Pelodiscus sinensis: one gene and its partner. The protein of the gene in region 2 interacts with the protein of the main gene of each other region in a pairwise test. Links are inferred from orthologs where the notes say so. Each region holds a gene or a part of one and is shown on either strand. Other genes may lie near its edges. The genes, in order: ENOX2 and CIB3.

Evidence for each region.
Region 1: the proteins of CIB3 (region 2) and ENOX2 interact in binary tests that used the Homo sapiens proteins (3 or more experiments, as listed by UniProt). The two-hybrid records come from large-scale screens. The link is inferred for Pelodiscus sinensis from reciprocal best matches to the Homo sapiens genes CIB3 and ENOX2.

Annotation. Positions count from the first base shown.
Region 1 is NC_134723.1:2,336,233-2,343,785, forward strand, and holds the start of ENOX2 (ecto-NOX disulfide-thiol exchanger 2), read left to right. Parts: upstream 1-4,090; 5' UTR 4,091-4,200; coding exon 4,201-4,243; intron 4,244-7,553. UniProt on the Homo sapiens protein: May be involved in cell growth. Probably acts as a terminal oxidase of plasma electron transport from cytosolic NAD(P)H via hydroquinones to acceptors at the cell surface.
Region 2 is NC_134729.1:31,362,013-31,370,719, reverse strand, and holds the start of CIB3 (calcium and integrin-binding family member 3), read right to left. Parts: upstream 3,336-8,707; coding exon 3,285-3,335; intron 2,928-3,284; coding exon 2,893-2,927; intron 576-2,892; coding exon 570-575; intron 310-569; coding exon 286-309; intron 1-285. Other genes in the region: protein FAM32A-like, read left to right, coding at 7,503-7,579, 7,721-7,856, 8,024-8,077, 8,479-8,547. UniProt on the Homo sapiens protein: Acts a an auxiliary subunit of the sensory mechanoelectrical transduction (MET) channel in hair cells. Plays a role in regulating hair cell MET channel localization and function.

The DNA of each region.
Region 1 (7,553 bases), on a different chromosome or scaffold from region 2:
GAGCCTTGGTTTGCTTAGTGCTCACTGTGTTAATGGCTTTAGTTAAGTGGTGAGATCTCATTTAGCCTGTCCTGTCGCCGGAGTAAACACCCTGAGAAAACTCATTTTTCTTTAAAAAAAAAATTACATTGAAAATCTTTAAAACCAGTTTTTAGTTAAAAGCTAAAAGTTAACTTAGTTTTCAAAAGTTATGAAAATGGACTTGCAACAAAACCCATTTGGGTCCTTTGTTCCACATTTAATTGGGTTGTGTTGCCCTGACAAACTGAGGGGGGGGTCACTTCTGCCCCCCTTTCTTCTCTTATCAAGCTCAACTGAGGAAGTAGGTTTTGCCCATGAAAGCTCATATCGTGTGTGTGTGTGTGTGTGTGTGTGTGTAAGGTTCCACAGGACTACTCATTTTTATAGTTAGACTAACACAGCTCCCTCTGAGACTTTCTTCCCATCTGCTACTCTTTTTACAGCACCCTGGATAGCTCCTTGGAGTAGGATTTAGCAGCTTCAGTGGACACTGATAAGGTTCTTCCAGCCTATAATAAGCCTCAATATAGGCTCGGAAGAATTTGTTTCATCTTAACTATTTCCACCGTCATTTGTCTCCATCAGCACTCAAGTCTCTGCACTTCTCTCTTTTACAGCCCTAGGTACCAGAAAACCAAGGGGATCTGTGTGGGCTTTGGGAAATTTAGGATTGTTTGGAGGCTGACAGTGAGCAAGACCGGTGTAGAATGGTAATTATTCATTTACTGCTTGATCTGTCCTTGCGTGCTGCCGCCCTTTAGCAGGGTTTGAAATTTGGAGAAGTCAATGAGCCTTCCTGGTAGAATGAGGAATGTTGGCCTTTTGTTTCCTTGGGGGCTGACAAGTCTGACTGCCTCAGAACTGAGCACTGGACACCCTGAATGTACTGATGGCCAGGGCAGACATTGGTTGATGGTTGCAAAGCAGTTCCAGACTATTTGAGAAAGAAAGCATGCAAAATGCACATAGCCCTATTCAGTGAAACCGAACAATAGTTTTTCAAAGCATTTGTTGGACTGAAAAGGTTATGTACAATTGTAGCATAGCTTGGATTCTCAAATTAAAAATAGAAATTAGTCTGTTTGGATACAGAGGCAACAAGGGGGAGGCTTATTGGTTAATTGTGTCATTGACTACACGCTGACATCCCTAGTTGTGACATGTTAATTACCACAAGAGGGCACCCATGTTCTGGACAAATGTCTTCATTTGGTGAATCTCTTGGTGATTTGGCAAGGGTGAATATACATTTTGGAAATCATTTTTTGATGGTGTGTGGCTCAATCTCATTCCATGCTTGATGAAACCAGTATATTGCATCCAAGCATAAAATCCTTTTCAAAAGCATTGGAGCCAGTGAAGTTACATGAGATTCTATTTGATGAAGAATACATTGAATTTGTCTTTTCTGAAATTGCCATTGCACAGCTTGAAGGTTTCCAGGTGTCTGGCTTTTGACCAGAAATTCCTGTCAAAAAGGAGACCTTTGACAGGGTCTGGTCAAGTGTATTGACTGGACACCAAAAGTCTGGTTAGTGAGGATGGGGAGGAGGCACTGGAGAACCTGCAGCAGCAGCCCCTGCTGAGGAAAGGCTGCCTACTGTCAGTATCTTGTGGGCAGAGGTAGATGGCACAGTGTCATGCTGCTATTCCTCTACCAGCCCCGGACCAGAGGGAGCCCAGTTGCATATGGGAGAGAGATGAAGAGACTTTAAGGAAGAGTGGGAGGAATGGGGGCTTGGAGGGAAGAGGTGGGTTAGAGGCTCTGGTTTTCAGAAAGCTGGCAACCCTGGTCCTGTGAAGCAGAGTTTAATGTTTGTTTGCAAAGGAGGAGGCATGGGGCATTATCCACAAACAGAATCTTATATTCCTGTGGTAGTGATCTGTGCTCAAATCTTGGTAGCCATTTTTCAAAATGTTCTGAATTCATCCATGCTTTTTTATTTAATTCATATTCCACAGGCAACTCCTTGGTAGTCAACTTGCCAAAGCAGGGTGGGTGTTGGGATTTAGCGACCAGTACGGACTTTTCTTTATCTCCATCCATGCAGTGGGACTGCTCCATGGCTCAACACTTTTGAAATAAAAAACCATTTAATATTTTTCAAATGTCGTGGAAACACTTTATTTTGACACTCACCAGTAACTGTCACATGAAACCAATTTTGCAATGCAAGGTTAGAACCCTGAAAGAGGGTGTTCTAACTACAGCTTGTTGGAATTACAGCTGCAGAGGGGCTGCATTTTGCCTCCTCCTAATCAAGGAGTATTGGATTAAAATGTAACAATGTAATTGTGAAAGCAGGCTCTTTGCTGGCCAGGCCTCTCCTGCGTATTGCCATCAGAGCAAAAGGTCAACTTCCTCTTGATGAAAAACCCTTACATTATGTAACTTAAACACCAGTGAAGAACAGGAACCAAAACCAGACCTAAAAAGTTCATGTAAAGTTCGTGCTGGTTGTGCTGACTGTGCCATGCCCGATAAGGCAGAAAAGGAAAAACAGGAAACCATCTCACCCTCTTACTCCTGTCACTTAACAGACAGGGTCTGCTAGCCTATCACAAAAAGCACGCAAAAGCTTTCTCTATAAAACAGCTTCCCCTCCTGTATCAAATTGAGGAATCCCGAATAAACATTGGATGGTAGAATATGAGCCAGGTCCGAGGACTGATCACCCGAGGGCCACCTCCTGCTCACCGAACCAAATGAGTTCCTGTAGAGTGTAATGTATACCAAACATAACGTATACCAAATATGTTGTTGTTGTTGTTGTAGTTTGTGTGTCTGTTAAATGTAAGTATTGTTATCTGAAATTGTTTAGAGGTATGGTTAAGTAGTAGTGTTAAGAGTTTTAGATAAATGATTAGTCTGATAAGTAAGACTGATGTAAATGTAACTGTTAATAATCCCTGGTCCCTTGTTAACAACTATTGGGATTTAGAGAAACCTCAAGGAATTTTCTTTACTGTATTGCATTGTGCTTATTAGTCATTCTAATAATTGATAAAATAATTTATATGCAGAAGTGCCTTAATAAAAGTTTAAAAGATATTTAGTAAGAGTTTGCCTGTTTCTGCGCCTCCCTGGGACTAGCCGCATTCCCGAGCCTTTGACTTTATTCCACAGTAAGGAGGAGGCGTAAGATGCCCACAGAGCTGGGCAGCGAGAGGGTGCTGGCCAGGCGCCCAGCTCTGAAGGCAGCTCAGGGCCAGGGGCAATGTCGGACCCCGGCGCGGGGGGGGGGGGGGCAGTGCCGGACCCCGGCGCGGGCGGGGGGGGGGGGGCAGTGCCGGACCCCGGCGCGGGGGGGGGGGGGGCAGTGCCGGACCCCAGCGCGGGGGGGGGGGGGCAGTGCCGGACCCCGGCGCGGGGGGGGGGGGGGGCAGTGCCGGACCCCGGCGCGGGGGGGGGGGGGGCAGTGCCGGACCCCAGCGCGGGCGGGGGGGGGGCAGTGCCGGACCCCGGCGCGGGCGGGGGGGGGCAGTGCCGGACCCCGGCGCGGGGGGGGGGGGGCAGTGCCGGACCCCGGCGCGGGGGGGGGGGGGCAGTGCCGGACCCCGGCGCGGGGGGGGGGGGGCAGTGCCGGACCCCGGCGCGGGGGGGGGCACTGCCGGACCCCGGCGCGGGGGGGGGGGGCAGTGCCGGACCCCGGCGCGGGGGGGGGGGCACTGCCGGACCCCGGCGCGGGGGGGGGAGGCCCGCGTGCCGAGGGGCCGAGCGCTGCGGGGCGGCGGGTTCCGATGTCGGCAGCTAAATCTCGACACTTACCGTTGTGACGCCCCGGGCCTGCGACACGGACCGAGCGCCCCGCCGTGACTGGGGCTGCGGCCCCGCCTGGCGAGCCCTGAGGCGGGGCGCTTAACACCCCTCCCCTCCAGTGCGCTGCCTCCCTGTGTCAGGCCCGGGCGCGCGCCGCAGAGCCTGGCTGCCATGGCAACCCGCCCCGAGCTGGCCTGAGGCGGCGCCAGTCCCGCTCCCGACGCCCCGCGCGCCGGTCTACGTCACCCACCAGGCCTCGCGCCCTAACGGCCAATCAGAGCACGCGTCCAGCGGCTAGGCAACGGCCGTACCCGGCATGCCTCGGGGCGCGGAGCCGGGCGGCCAATGGGCGGCGCAGGCGAAGGGGGCGGGGCTGTCGCGCGGCGCTGGGCCCGGGCTGAGGGGCGGACGAGCGGCGGATGTATAAGGAGTACCGGGGCGGCGCGGCCCGGCGGCCGGCAGGTGAGGACCCCGGGGCGGACCCCTGCTGCTGGCCAATGGACAGTGACCTCCCTCCGCGTGCCCTGGTTCTGGGAGAGCCCCCCCCCCCTGACTCGGGGGCAGTGCCGCGACGTGGGGCGCCCCCCCGCCCCCCTGACTCGGGGGCAGTGCCGCGACGGGGGGCGGCCCCCCCCGCCCCCCTGACTCGGGGGCAGTGCCGCGACGTGGGGCGGCCCCCCCCGCCCCCCTGACTCGGGGGCAGTGCCGCGACGTGGGGCGGCCCCCCCCGCCCCCCTGACTCGGGGGCAGTGCCGCGACGTGGGGCTGCCCCCCCCCCGCCCTCCTAACTCGGGGGCAGTGCCGCGACGTGGGGCTGCCCCCCCCCGCCCTCCTAACTCGGGGGCAGTGCCGCGACGTGGGGCTGCCCCCCCCCCCCCGCCCTCCTAACTCGGGGGAGGTGGTGCCGCGACGTGGGGCTGCCCCCCCCCGCCCTCCTAACTCGGGGGAGGTGGTGCCGCGACGTGGGGCTGCCCCCCCCCCCCGCCCCCCTGACTCGGGGGCAGTGCCGCGACGTGGGGCTGCCCCCCCCGCCCCCCTGACTCGGGGGCAGTGCCGCGACGTGGGGCTGCCCCCCCCCCGCCCTCCTGACTCGGGGGCAGTGCCGCGACGTGGGGCTGCCCCCCCCCGCCCCCCTGACTCGGGGGCAGTGCCGCGACGTGGGGCTGCCCCCCCCGCCCCCCTGACTCGGGGGCAGTGCCGCGACGTGGGGCTGCCCCCCCCGCCCCCCTGACTCGGGGGCAGTGCCGCGACGTGGGGCTGCCCCCCCCGCCCCCCTGACTCGGGGGCAGTGCCGCGACGTGGGGCGGCCCCCCCCGCCCCCCTGACTCGGGGGCAGTGCCGTGACGTGGGGCGGCCCCCCCCGCACTCCTAACTCGGGGGCAGTGCCGTGACGTGGGGCTGCCCCCCCCCGCCCTCCTAACTCGGGGGCAGTGCCGCGACGTGGGGCTGCCCCCCCCCGCCCTCCTAACTCGGGGGCAGTGCCGCGACGTGGGGCTGCCCCCCCCCCGCCCTCCTAACTCGGGGGCAGTGCCGCGACGTGGGGCTGCCCCCCCCGCCCTCCTAACTCGGGGGAGGTGGTGCCGCGACGTGGGGCTGCCCCCCCCCCCCGCCCTCCTGACTCGGGGGCAGTGCCGCGACGTGGGGCTGCAGAGGAGCTGAGTTCCGGTGTGTGCTTGGGCGCTCTGCTCAGCCGTATGTACCTGCCTTTCCTTACCCCTGTATCCACAATGTCCAGCAGATCCTCTGTGCACCTCCATAACAGGTGTGCATGTTGGATTTTTCTCTCTCATTTTCAGCCTTGGTTTCACTGCCTTGGCTGCTTCTGTTGGGTCTTGCCCCTGAAAGGCAGTTCGTGTGTCACAGCCCTACATGCCCCTCAGGCTAACCTAGCTTTAAAACTTCTTAGCTTAACCAAATAAACTTCTATAGATTTCTTGGCGCTAGCTTTGCCCTAGAGGTCTCAACTCTCTCAAGATCCCATTCTTGTAGAGAAGATCCATTTTTTATGGGTTCTGTGTCAGTTTATCTCCAGAAATAATGCTTGTGATAAGACATTGCAAGAAGAGTGTAAACATGACACTATTTTAAACTAAACTATTTTGTAACTTTTACATAATTAAGCCGTGCATATTGGTCTCCTTATGGCAAATCTCAATATTTTAGACCAGAAATTAAAATTCTTGGACAGGTGAGAATGAAGTTGTCTTTGGCAATTGTATAATAATGGATAACGTGAAGATGTGGGTATAAGTTGCAAGACTACAAAACAACAGTAGGGAGTCGAAGGACAGTGTAAGGGTTAAGGGGTGAAAAAGCTGTGTAATTATGGGATACTTCAATTTGAGTGACATGCTGAAGGTCAGAACTGTCCTGTATATAGGACTAATTGGAGCAGTTGCCCGAGGTCCTGCACTTTTGGGGGCCCCTCAGTGGCTGCTCCAACTGTCCTATGAGCAAAAAGGACTGGGAGTTATGGGGGCCTTCAGCAGGGGTCGTTTCCCCCTCTGCATTCATCACATGGGTGGCAGGAGCCGGAGCAGCCTGGCAGCCAGCTCTGCCCTGCCAGAGAAACACTGATTCTTTTAAAAAAGATATGGGCAGGATCACAGCATGTAATAGAGATGTTTCAGTCCTAGAGGCAGTACTGACTTGTTTGTATCTGGGTCTAAAGATGTATCTCAGAAGGAGTATCTTTGCCCAGCAGAGAGGGAAATGGTTCTTGTACTCAGTGAATGGTTTGCTTGAAGTCTGCCATGCCAGCTGTCATATTGGGGTCATTAGTGTGCTCAGGTGTTGATAGACATTTAGCTATGTGTGTTCTCTCTGGGCCACCCCAGCTCTGTGCAGACAGCTGGTGGCACAGCAGGCCTCAAGTGAACCACCCAATGATTACAAGATCTGTGAAGAGACAAGGCCTGAAATTATAAAAGGCAGGGTCACCCCAAGATGTTCCTGTCTTTCCTGTGCATCACATTCAGCACACCCAAAGAGACAGAGGAAGCAGCTGTTGGAATCTCTGTAGGTCAGGACTCCTCTCCCAGTTTGGTCAGTAAGACTGCTGAAAGCATGGGGCCAGAGTCTGTTTGAAATCTAACATAGGTTAAATAAGGCAATTAGTATTTTATCTTTATTTTTCTTATAACCATTTTTGACTTATGCTTCATTATTTGTACTCACTTTCTCTTTGTGGTTAATACACTTGTTTTATCTAATCCAGTGTGTTCAGTCTGAAGAGTGGGGGTAACTCCATTGGGGTAACAAGTTGCATACACATTATTTTCTTAAAGGAATAACATTTAAAGTAATGTGTACTGTAATGTGTACTGTCCTGGACTGTGCAGGACATAGATTTCTGGGTAGAAATCTGACTGGGAGCATGTTAGGGTCACTCCATGATGCTCTTTAAGGCTGATAAAAGGTGTGGCTGTCTGCAGAACACACAGAGTTGGCAGTGGCTTACATGCTGGAGGCTGTTTGAGAGCTGTCTGGGTTGGTGGCTACAGCAGCAAAGCATTGCAAAGGGCACCCCAGAATAGAGGGCAGGGGTGGTGACGCAGCTACTTAGTCTGAATTGTACTCTTGTGTGTCACAGTCCTTGTTCTGGTTCAAATGTATCAGAAAATTTCCCTCTGGTGGTGGTGATCAGCTGATGTGAGAAACTGCAACACCTCTCAGGAGCTTTGTGCTCCTCAATCACGCAGAAGGGATTTCATAAACGCCAAATACTATAGGCCTAGAGGTAGAAATGTGAGAGTTGGCTACCCTAGGTAAG
Region 2 (8,707 bases):
AGGACTTATGCCCGAGCGGGAGCAGAATAGTTTTTCTGGAATAGCGGCTGATTTTGTACAGTAGAGTGTCGTTGCTTTTCCGGAAATTCAAGGGCCAGTGTAGACAGCTCGCAGCTTATTCCAGAAAAGTGGCTGATTTTCCGGAATAAGTGGCCCAGTGTAGACACAGCCAGCCATAGATTTGTAAGGACAGAAGGGACCAATGTGATGAAAATAAGTGATCTTCAAAAGATCTCAGGGGAATTAAGAATGGGGGGTTCAATAATGAAAGTATTTTAAGCCTACCTTACCTTTGAAATGAGCGTACCTCTTTCCCCTGCAAAAACATGCAGGCAAACCCACAGGAGCTAGAAATAGAGAGAACCTCCTGGACCATCTAGTCCACCCATTGGGGGGATTGTCCTCAACCCTGTTTCCTTAGATACCTTTTTTTCTCATCTTTAAGCTTTTAAAAAATGGGTTTGTTTTACCCTTCAAATATGGGGCTCCATCCTGCCTTTTGTTGCCCACCCAAACCTCCCACTGATTTTGTAGGGACTCAGAACGAAGAGAAGGGAAGAGCTATAAACTGACCCCTAAATATGTTTCTTTTCTTCTCAATGCAATTTACTTCCAGTGTCGCATTAGACTGAGGAGCTCATTCATACTGTCACCCATGAAAATGGTATCAAACAAGAAGACAGAATTTTCTAAAGGTTTCCTATCAATTATAAATGCCTTATTTGTGATATAATTATGGTCTTGGCCTCTATTAAATACATGAAAACACAACCAGGCTTAGTTTAATTTATTAATTTCATTTGCATTTTGTACTGTGGAGCACTGATAAACAGAGACCAAGATGGGCAGAGTAGGAGATCAGGGTCTGGTGGAGAAGGGCAGTCGTCTTATGAAATTGTCTCTGCACTCTACTCAGCAAAAGATTTGGCACACTGATGTTGTGCAAGATCAGCCTTAGAAAGGGGAAGGAAATGGAAATGTTTCTGCTGATTAATTTGCTACATGACAAATAGGAAACAAAAGCTGACTTCTACAATCAAGTCCGGTGGAACAGACTCTTATGGGCTGTGTCTAAACTACAAAACGAAAAAGGGATGTAAATTAGACACTTCAAAATCGCAAATGAAGCTAGGATTTAAATTTGCATAATGGTGGTTGCAGTTTTTTTCTAAATGGGGCTTTTCGAAAGAAAAACGGCTGTTTAGACGGGGATCTATCGAAAATAAAACCCTCAGAGGAATACAGGATCTTCTGAAAAAGGGTTTTATTTTCGATAGATGCCTGTCTAAACAGCTGTTTTTCTTTCGAAAAGCCCCATTTCGAAAAAAACCCATGGCCACCCTTATGCAAATGAAGCACGGGAAATTTAAATCCTGGCTTCATTTGCAATTTTGAAGTGTCTAATTTACATCCCTTTTTTGAGAAAAGGGATGTAGTTTAGACACAGGAGTGCCAACGCCTGCCAAAGTTCACTCGGTGATGCACTGGGAGACCAGGTTCCAGTTGCCAGTTAGGACTCTTGATCCCTCAGCCAGTGTGTTACAAATCTCTAAGCCAGGGGTGGGGAACCTTTTTTGGTCAGTGGCCACTGACCCACAGAAAAATCAGTTGTGAATCACACTCAAGTGAGAAGCAAAAAAAAAAAAAAACTTCCCACACACTCAACTCTGGATGCCGGGGCTTCGCTCATGCTTCAGCCTTGCAGGGGGGCACCAAAGCTTGGAGATTTGCCATGGGGCTGGAGCATGAGCACTGGCTTGCCTTGCTGGGGGGGAAGCCCCAAGCCTCACCATGGGCTGGATCAAAGCAATGCAGGACCCAGATCTGCCTCACAGTCTGTAGGTTCCCCACCTCTGCACTAAGCCTTTCCTCTTCAGCCTCTTGTGGCTAGATGACTAATGGTCAATGGCTTGGCCTAGATGTACTATTTACTTGGAAGAGGTTCCAAAATTTCTGGAAATGAGTGATTCAGGCTAACTTAGGCCTTGTGCTCTAATGAGGCACCAGGCTTCAAAATATCACCACAGCTTTTTACACATAAAGCTAGTGGGCAGCATCATGTTGTCTCAGCTAAAGTTTTTAGGCTACTTTGATCCGGCCATGTTTACTGTGGAATCATTTTTGTGAAATAATTTAATCTCTAATCTTGTTTCATGGGATTTGGGGCTTGTAAAAATGTCTCCGGAAAATATCATAAATGCAGATGCAAAAAGTGACACAAAACAATAGCTGCTCTGTGGACAGCACTGGATTGTCAAGGCAAAGGTAAAAAGTTTTTACTTTAGCTTTAGCTCTGTTTTCATGGGCAAACAAAATGAAGCCAACGTAAATCATGGAAAACAGCATGCTGCAGGGTCAAAGCATAATCATTTAAAAGCTAGAACAATCCTGCTTTGTAAAGAGAGTAAATAGAGGCATGAATAACATTTTTATATCTCAAATTTATATACATCTAAGAAATTATAGTTACCTTTAAGAAATTAAATTTTCATGGCACATAAATATTTCTGAACTTATAATATAAAGACAATAGAACAAGATAATACACTAGTCAGAAAGCATTTAATCAAATAGATGGTAGCAATAGTCTGTGTAGCACTTGTTATAAACCAGGTAGAGGGGAATGGGGCCTCCTAGCAGAGTATTAGATGTAACTTGTTATAGTGTTTTACATGGGAGTAGCTGGCATGTTAATAGAATTATAGATTTTTGGCTTAACTAACGACATTGAACATGATTTTTGTGCGTGTGTGTGTCTACTTCACTTATCGCAATAATGCCATATTAAATCCTATTTAAAACTTAATAAAAAGATTACTAAGATTACTAGATGAGTGGCCTTACTTTTTAATAATCTCCTTATAGTTTTACAGACAAAAAATATAGACGCACCTCAGAATTTCTTTCCTTGTAAAGAATGTGCAATCCTGTAAAATATGGAAAGATAGAAGATGTGATGGTGAGTTATTTTTGCTTTTTTATTTTAAACACTAGCCCAAATTCTTTTCTGTACAAGTGCACTAATTTCACTTGACTCATATTATGGATAAAGCTGGCCCAACCTTTATAAACTTTCTGTTCAACTATAGAGTCATGTTTGACAGTTTTTTCTCTCTTAAAAGAAGATAAAGGAATATTAAACAGCCATAAACCATTTACTCTAAAGACTTCAGATAGTATTTCATATTCCTGTTTAGCACCATGAAACTAAGTGCTGGAGACTGCTTTAAAACAACCTGCCATTTCCTGGCATTGTGTCTAACTTGTCTTTTATTTGTTCTTACCTGATACGCATCCAGCTGCTCTGGAGTGAAAATGGTTTGCTTATTGCCCATTTCTGTCTCTAAATCCTGATTCTTGTCCCATAACTCTTTCCCGTTACGTTACCTTTACAGGAAGGCTGAATATTGAGATATGAAAAGCTGCAACAATGAGGTTCAGACAGAGGAGGATCAGGTAACCAACCACCTTCCCTGCTCCATAGATTTCAGAATCATAATAGGAGCATTTCATCAAATCTTTAGTCTGAATACACAAGACTCTCATACAGCATCATTCATTTGCTTCCTGTGTGCTCTGCAGAGACTCATATTACAGCATTTCACAAACAACTAACACAATTTCTATCCCTTGTCTCTGTGCTACATAGGGGACAGTATGGATTTTAGTTTTATGCTTCCATCAATTAAATTCACATATACAAAAAGTCTTTCTTCCTTCAACATTCAGCAATTCACCTTAAAAAAGAATCACAGTAGGTATGGTCCTGAGTCCTTTTCTTAATGTTCATTGTAATACACATTCTACATCATATGTTAATACTGTGCTGTATTTTTCACTGTGTATAGCAATACTATATTTAAGCTCTTCCTCATTTTTTAACATCCATCCCATGCCAGCGTTGGCACTTAATGGAGAAATCATTCCTCTCTGTCGTGTGCTGCTGCTTCCAGAGCTATCCATATGATGGTTCAGGACAATCACCCAGGGCCCACACTTCGGGATGTCCCGCACTTCAGGGGACATACATACAGGTCTTGGGTGACGCCAGGGCTGATGGCAGCATGACTGTCCCTGCTCCACTCCACTTGCTCCTGGCATCACTCGAGAAGAGGCAGAATGGGGGCAGGGCAAGGGTGAGAAGAGGCAGAACAGAGGTGGAGAAGGGGTGGAAGTTTGGGGAAGGAGTCAAATGGGGCAGGGACAGAAAAGGGCAGGAAGAGGTGGATGCGGGCAAGGTCTGGGGTGGAGGATGGGGGGGGGGGGGTTGTCCTGAGCCCCATGCCCTGTTAGGGATGGCCTGGGCTGCTCCATAGTTTGGGGATTGACTATTCAGCCCTCCCTGCTAAGGTTTCTCTGATGCATGCTCATTTCTCATACCGGTTGGTTTCCACTTGACACCTTCACGTGTGAGTCTGTGTCAGCGTTTGCAGTACATGATCCAAAAATCACAGACTCACAGAACTGGACGGGACCATCTATCCCTGTCCACTGTACTCACAGCTGGACTAAGTATTAGCTAGACCAGCCCTGACAGATGTTTATCTAACCTGCTCTTGAAAATCCCCTGTGATGAAGAATTCATAACCTCCCTAGGCAATCTATTCCAGTGCTTAACCACTCTCAGTTAGGAAGTTTTTCTTAATGTCTAGCCTAAACCTCCCTTGCTGCCACAATTCTGAGTTTCCCCCTGGGTGAGGTGGCTGCAAACTTCACAGCCATAGGGGTACATGGCTATTGTTCCTCCACCTTAAGTAATTCCTCATCGCCAGGGCAGCGTAATGGTTCTCCATCACCATAGTAGGCAGGTTGGAAGTAGGCGTACAGCACTGTCTGCTGCTGGAAGTAACCAGCAGCCAGTGTCCTCCCTGTGATGGGCTAGGTCTACACTGCAGGTATTTGCCAGCAGAGAGTATGCTAATTAAGTGCACATTAGCATTTGTCCCACTGTCATTTGCATATCTCTGCCAATGCTTTTTGTGCAAGAGGTTTTTGAGACGTCTTCGCCAAAGGATCAATGCCCACAAAACAGATATTAGACAGGATCACAAAGAAAAAACAGTTTCTTGCCATTTCAACCAGAAAGGACACTGTCTCAACGACTTAATTACCTGCATCCTGCTTCAGAAGCCTTTTAAATATGCACTTGAAAGGGAATCCTCTGAACTGTCATTCATGCTAAAATTCGACACTCTACGTGGGGGGCTCAACAAAGACTCTAGCTATCTTACCCATTACAAAGATAGCCTCTCCAATTATCACCTCTAATACCATTAGCTCACAGACATTTACCTTCCCCTCCCCCTTCCACATCCCCCTTCTGTTCTGAAATTTGATTTGTCCTTTTCATATGTGTTCATTTTTTTTAATTGTATCCTTTGGTATGTATGGTTGTGACTATTTTCTTCCACTATTTGATCTGAGGAAGTGGGTCTGGCCCACGAAAGCTCATCATCTAATAAACCATCTTGTTAGTCTTTAAAGTGCTTATTTTCAAAGGCATCTATTTTTCTGTCTAATGTATGAGAAGATCTCCAGCTCTCACGGCCGTCTGTTAGCTCTGAGATTACATTTGAATTGAAATTTATTGGGTTTTTTTCTGGGACCCTATATCTTTGATTTCTATATGTTCCTGAATCTTCTGCAGTGTGACACTACACAGGATGAAAGAAGCCATGGATGCAAAGCTTCGAGAAGAACAGGTGGTATTCAGGCCCAAAAATAGATTGTATGCAGATTAGGGATGTAAATACCTGCTTTAAAAAGTTAAGAGGTTAAATAATATAATTTTAATGGTTTAACCGGTTAACCAGGGTCCAAACAGCAGGCGGGGGCTGCTCTGGCCAGCTGGGGTCCTGCGGCGTGGTGCTATGGGGCTGCTCCGGCCAACCAGGGTCCCACCATCTTTATATTATTAGTGCCTTTCAAAGTATTGTCAAACTTATGCATTCCACAGTCATGAGTCAGGCCACAAAAATCATGAGATTTCGAAAAAAATATACTCAGTTTGGGGTAGTTATTTTTTTCTTATTTGCCTTTGGTTTCTGACCTATTAGAGTCTGTTATATTTTTCCAGGCAACCATCAGGGCTAGAAACTTACTTAAAATGTTACTTCCTGACTCCAGCATCTGGAGCTTTAAGAAACACCAAAGGATTGTGAGATTTGCAACACGAGTGAGACGTGACAACTGTCCAGACCAAATGGAAGGATGGCGCTTGAGAAATATCTGCCTGGCCCTAAGGGACAAGCATAATGAGGCTAAGGATAGCCAGAGCTGCTAAACAATTTTGATGCTGGGACAGCACTGCATTGGCCAGGAGAAGACAAGTGATTCTGAACCAGAAGGAACGGGCCCTGCTCTTGTACATGCAAGAGTACATAGGGGAGGGCTGGGGGCAGTGGACTAGCCCGGTGCCATGGTTGTTGGTCAGTATCTGAGATTATGCTTGTAGCTCACCATGACTCAAAATCGTTTGTCAGGACTCGCATTAATTTCAATTGAAAGTACTGTTGCAAAAAATTTCGATTTTACACAATTATTGAAAGGCTACGGAGTGGCGGCCCGTCAATACTGGCGACCTAGGCGGTCACCTAGGGCACCAAGATAAATGGCCATTGAGGGCTTTGGAGGTGTGGGTGCCAATCACACGGTGATCGCGCGTTTCGCCTAGGACGCCTGTTGCTGGCAGCTCGTCTAGGGCCGCTCCTGAGGCTACAGAAGTATAAAAACCAGAAAAATTCAATTCATATAAATTCTTTTAATTCATGAGAAACTGGGCACACCGGAAGACACTAATGTTGTTCATTACAATGTATAGTTGCACCCAAATTGTTTATTAGTCTTTAAAGTGCTACATAGTCCTGTATTTTGTTTCAGTTACACCAGACTCACACGGCTACATTTCTATCCAAATTGTTGGTAATTGTGATTTGTTAAAATTAAATAAGTACACGAGTAGGGAATTGTTTTATTCACGAACTACACATTTTCTGTTTTCATTTTTTTTTTCAATTTTAAACAAAACAAAACCAAACCACTGCAAAGTGCAAACGTGTAAAAGCCAACAAAAAAAGCGGCCAAAAATGTTTTGCTTGGGGCGGCAAAAACCCTAGAGCCGGCTGGCGCTGGCTGTAGCAACCCCCCTCCACACACAGCCCTAGTTCCAGTCCTATGGGGCGGAGGGGGAGCCCCGGGGGAAGGAAGCGCAGCCCCTGCACCGCACGGCACCGGGACCGGCACCACCGGGGAGCAACACAACCCCCCCCCCCCCCGGCTCATCGCATGGGGGCGGGGCCAGGATCCCCACAACGCTGCCCGCGCTCTGTAGGGGGCGCCCGAGGCCGGCTCCCTGAAGCGGGGGCAGAGGGGGGGCTGCGCACCGTGCGCTGCGCACGAGGCTTAGAGCCCCGCCCCCACCCGCGCCTGTGGCCCCGCCCCGCCTCAGGAGGCCCCGCCCACGCGACCTGACCCAGAAGCGCTGTGAGCGCGGCCGGCGCGCGATGGCGGAGTACGAGAGCGTCCAGCGCGGGCAGCTGCGGCTGAAGGGTAGCGGGGCGGCCCCGGTGCTGGGGAAGCGGTGAGCGGTCCGGGGGCGGCGGTCCGGGGGTGGGGGCCCGGGAGGGCGGGGGCGGCGGCGGTCCGGGGGCGGCGGGGGCGGCCCCTGGCCCCTGGCGCCTCACGCCTCACGCCTCACCCCGCCCGCTCTGTGTTGCTCCAGGAAGAAGAAGGCGAAGGACAAAAGCAAGATCCGCGAGCAGATCGTGAGCAGCAAGAAGCAGGAGGAGGAGAAGAAGCGGGCGCTGGACAAGCGGACCCCGGCGCAGCTGGCCTATGAGAAGACGCAGGAGAAAAGAGTAGGAGGGGGGCAGCTCCTCGCGGGGGCGGGGCGGGGGGTCGCCGAGATGCGCTTTCCTAGGGTGCCCCAAGGCAAAGCCCCCCCCCCCCCCCGCGGAGGGTGGGCTGCGCGTGGTATGTTCCCGGCTGCCAAAGGAAGGTCTCACTGTGTCTGTTCCATTTTCAGCAAATGGAGAGGATCCTGAAGAAAGCCTCCAAAACTCATAAACAGAGAGTGGAGGTAAGGGGCTGTGTGTGTTGGCTTATTCCCTCCCGTCGCCATATGTCGCTTCCCTGAGTCTGAGTTCTGGATTCTTGCCCCTTTCTCTCAAGCAATTTGTTCGTTCCCTCTGAAGCACTTGAAATTGGCCATTGCTGAAGCACAATGCTGGGCGAAATTGACCATTGGGCTGACCCAGTCAGGCCATTTTTATCTGGTATTGGCAGACCAGATACGGTACCAATTGTATACAGGACTATCCTGTATTTTGTTTCAGCTACACCAGACTAACACGGCTACATTTCTATCACTGTACCAGTTGTACTACTGGTTTGATCTGGAATTGCAAAGTATAAACATAGTGAAAGAAATAGCAAGGTCAGGTATGTCCGTATTATAGCCTACTTTTTTTTTCCTCTTAGGATTTCAACAGACACTTGGATGCTCTGACTGAACATTATGACATTCCCAAAGTTAGCTGGACTAAATGAATGTTTTCTCTTCCCCAGTTCTGGATTCTGAGTAGGCTTTTTATTTAAAGGAAATAATTGTACAAATCTCTGCTCTCCAAGTTGGATATTTTATTAATGCTATATAAACATTTCTTTCTGGTACTTTTTCATCATTCATTGTTTGTTTAAAACTTATGTA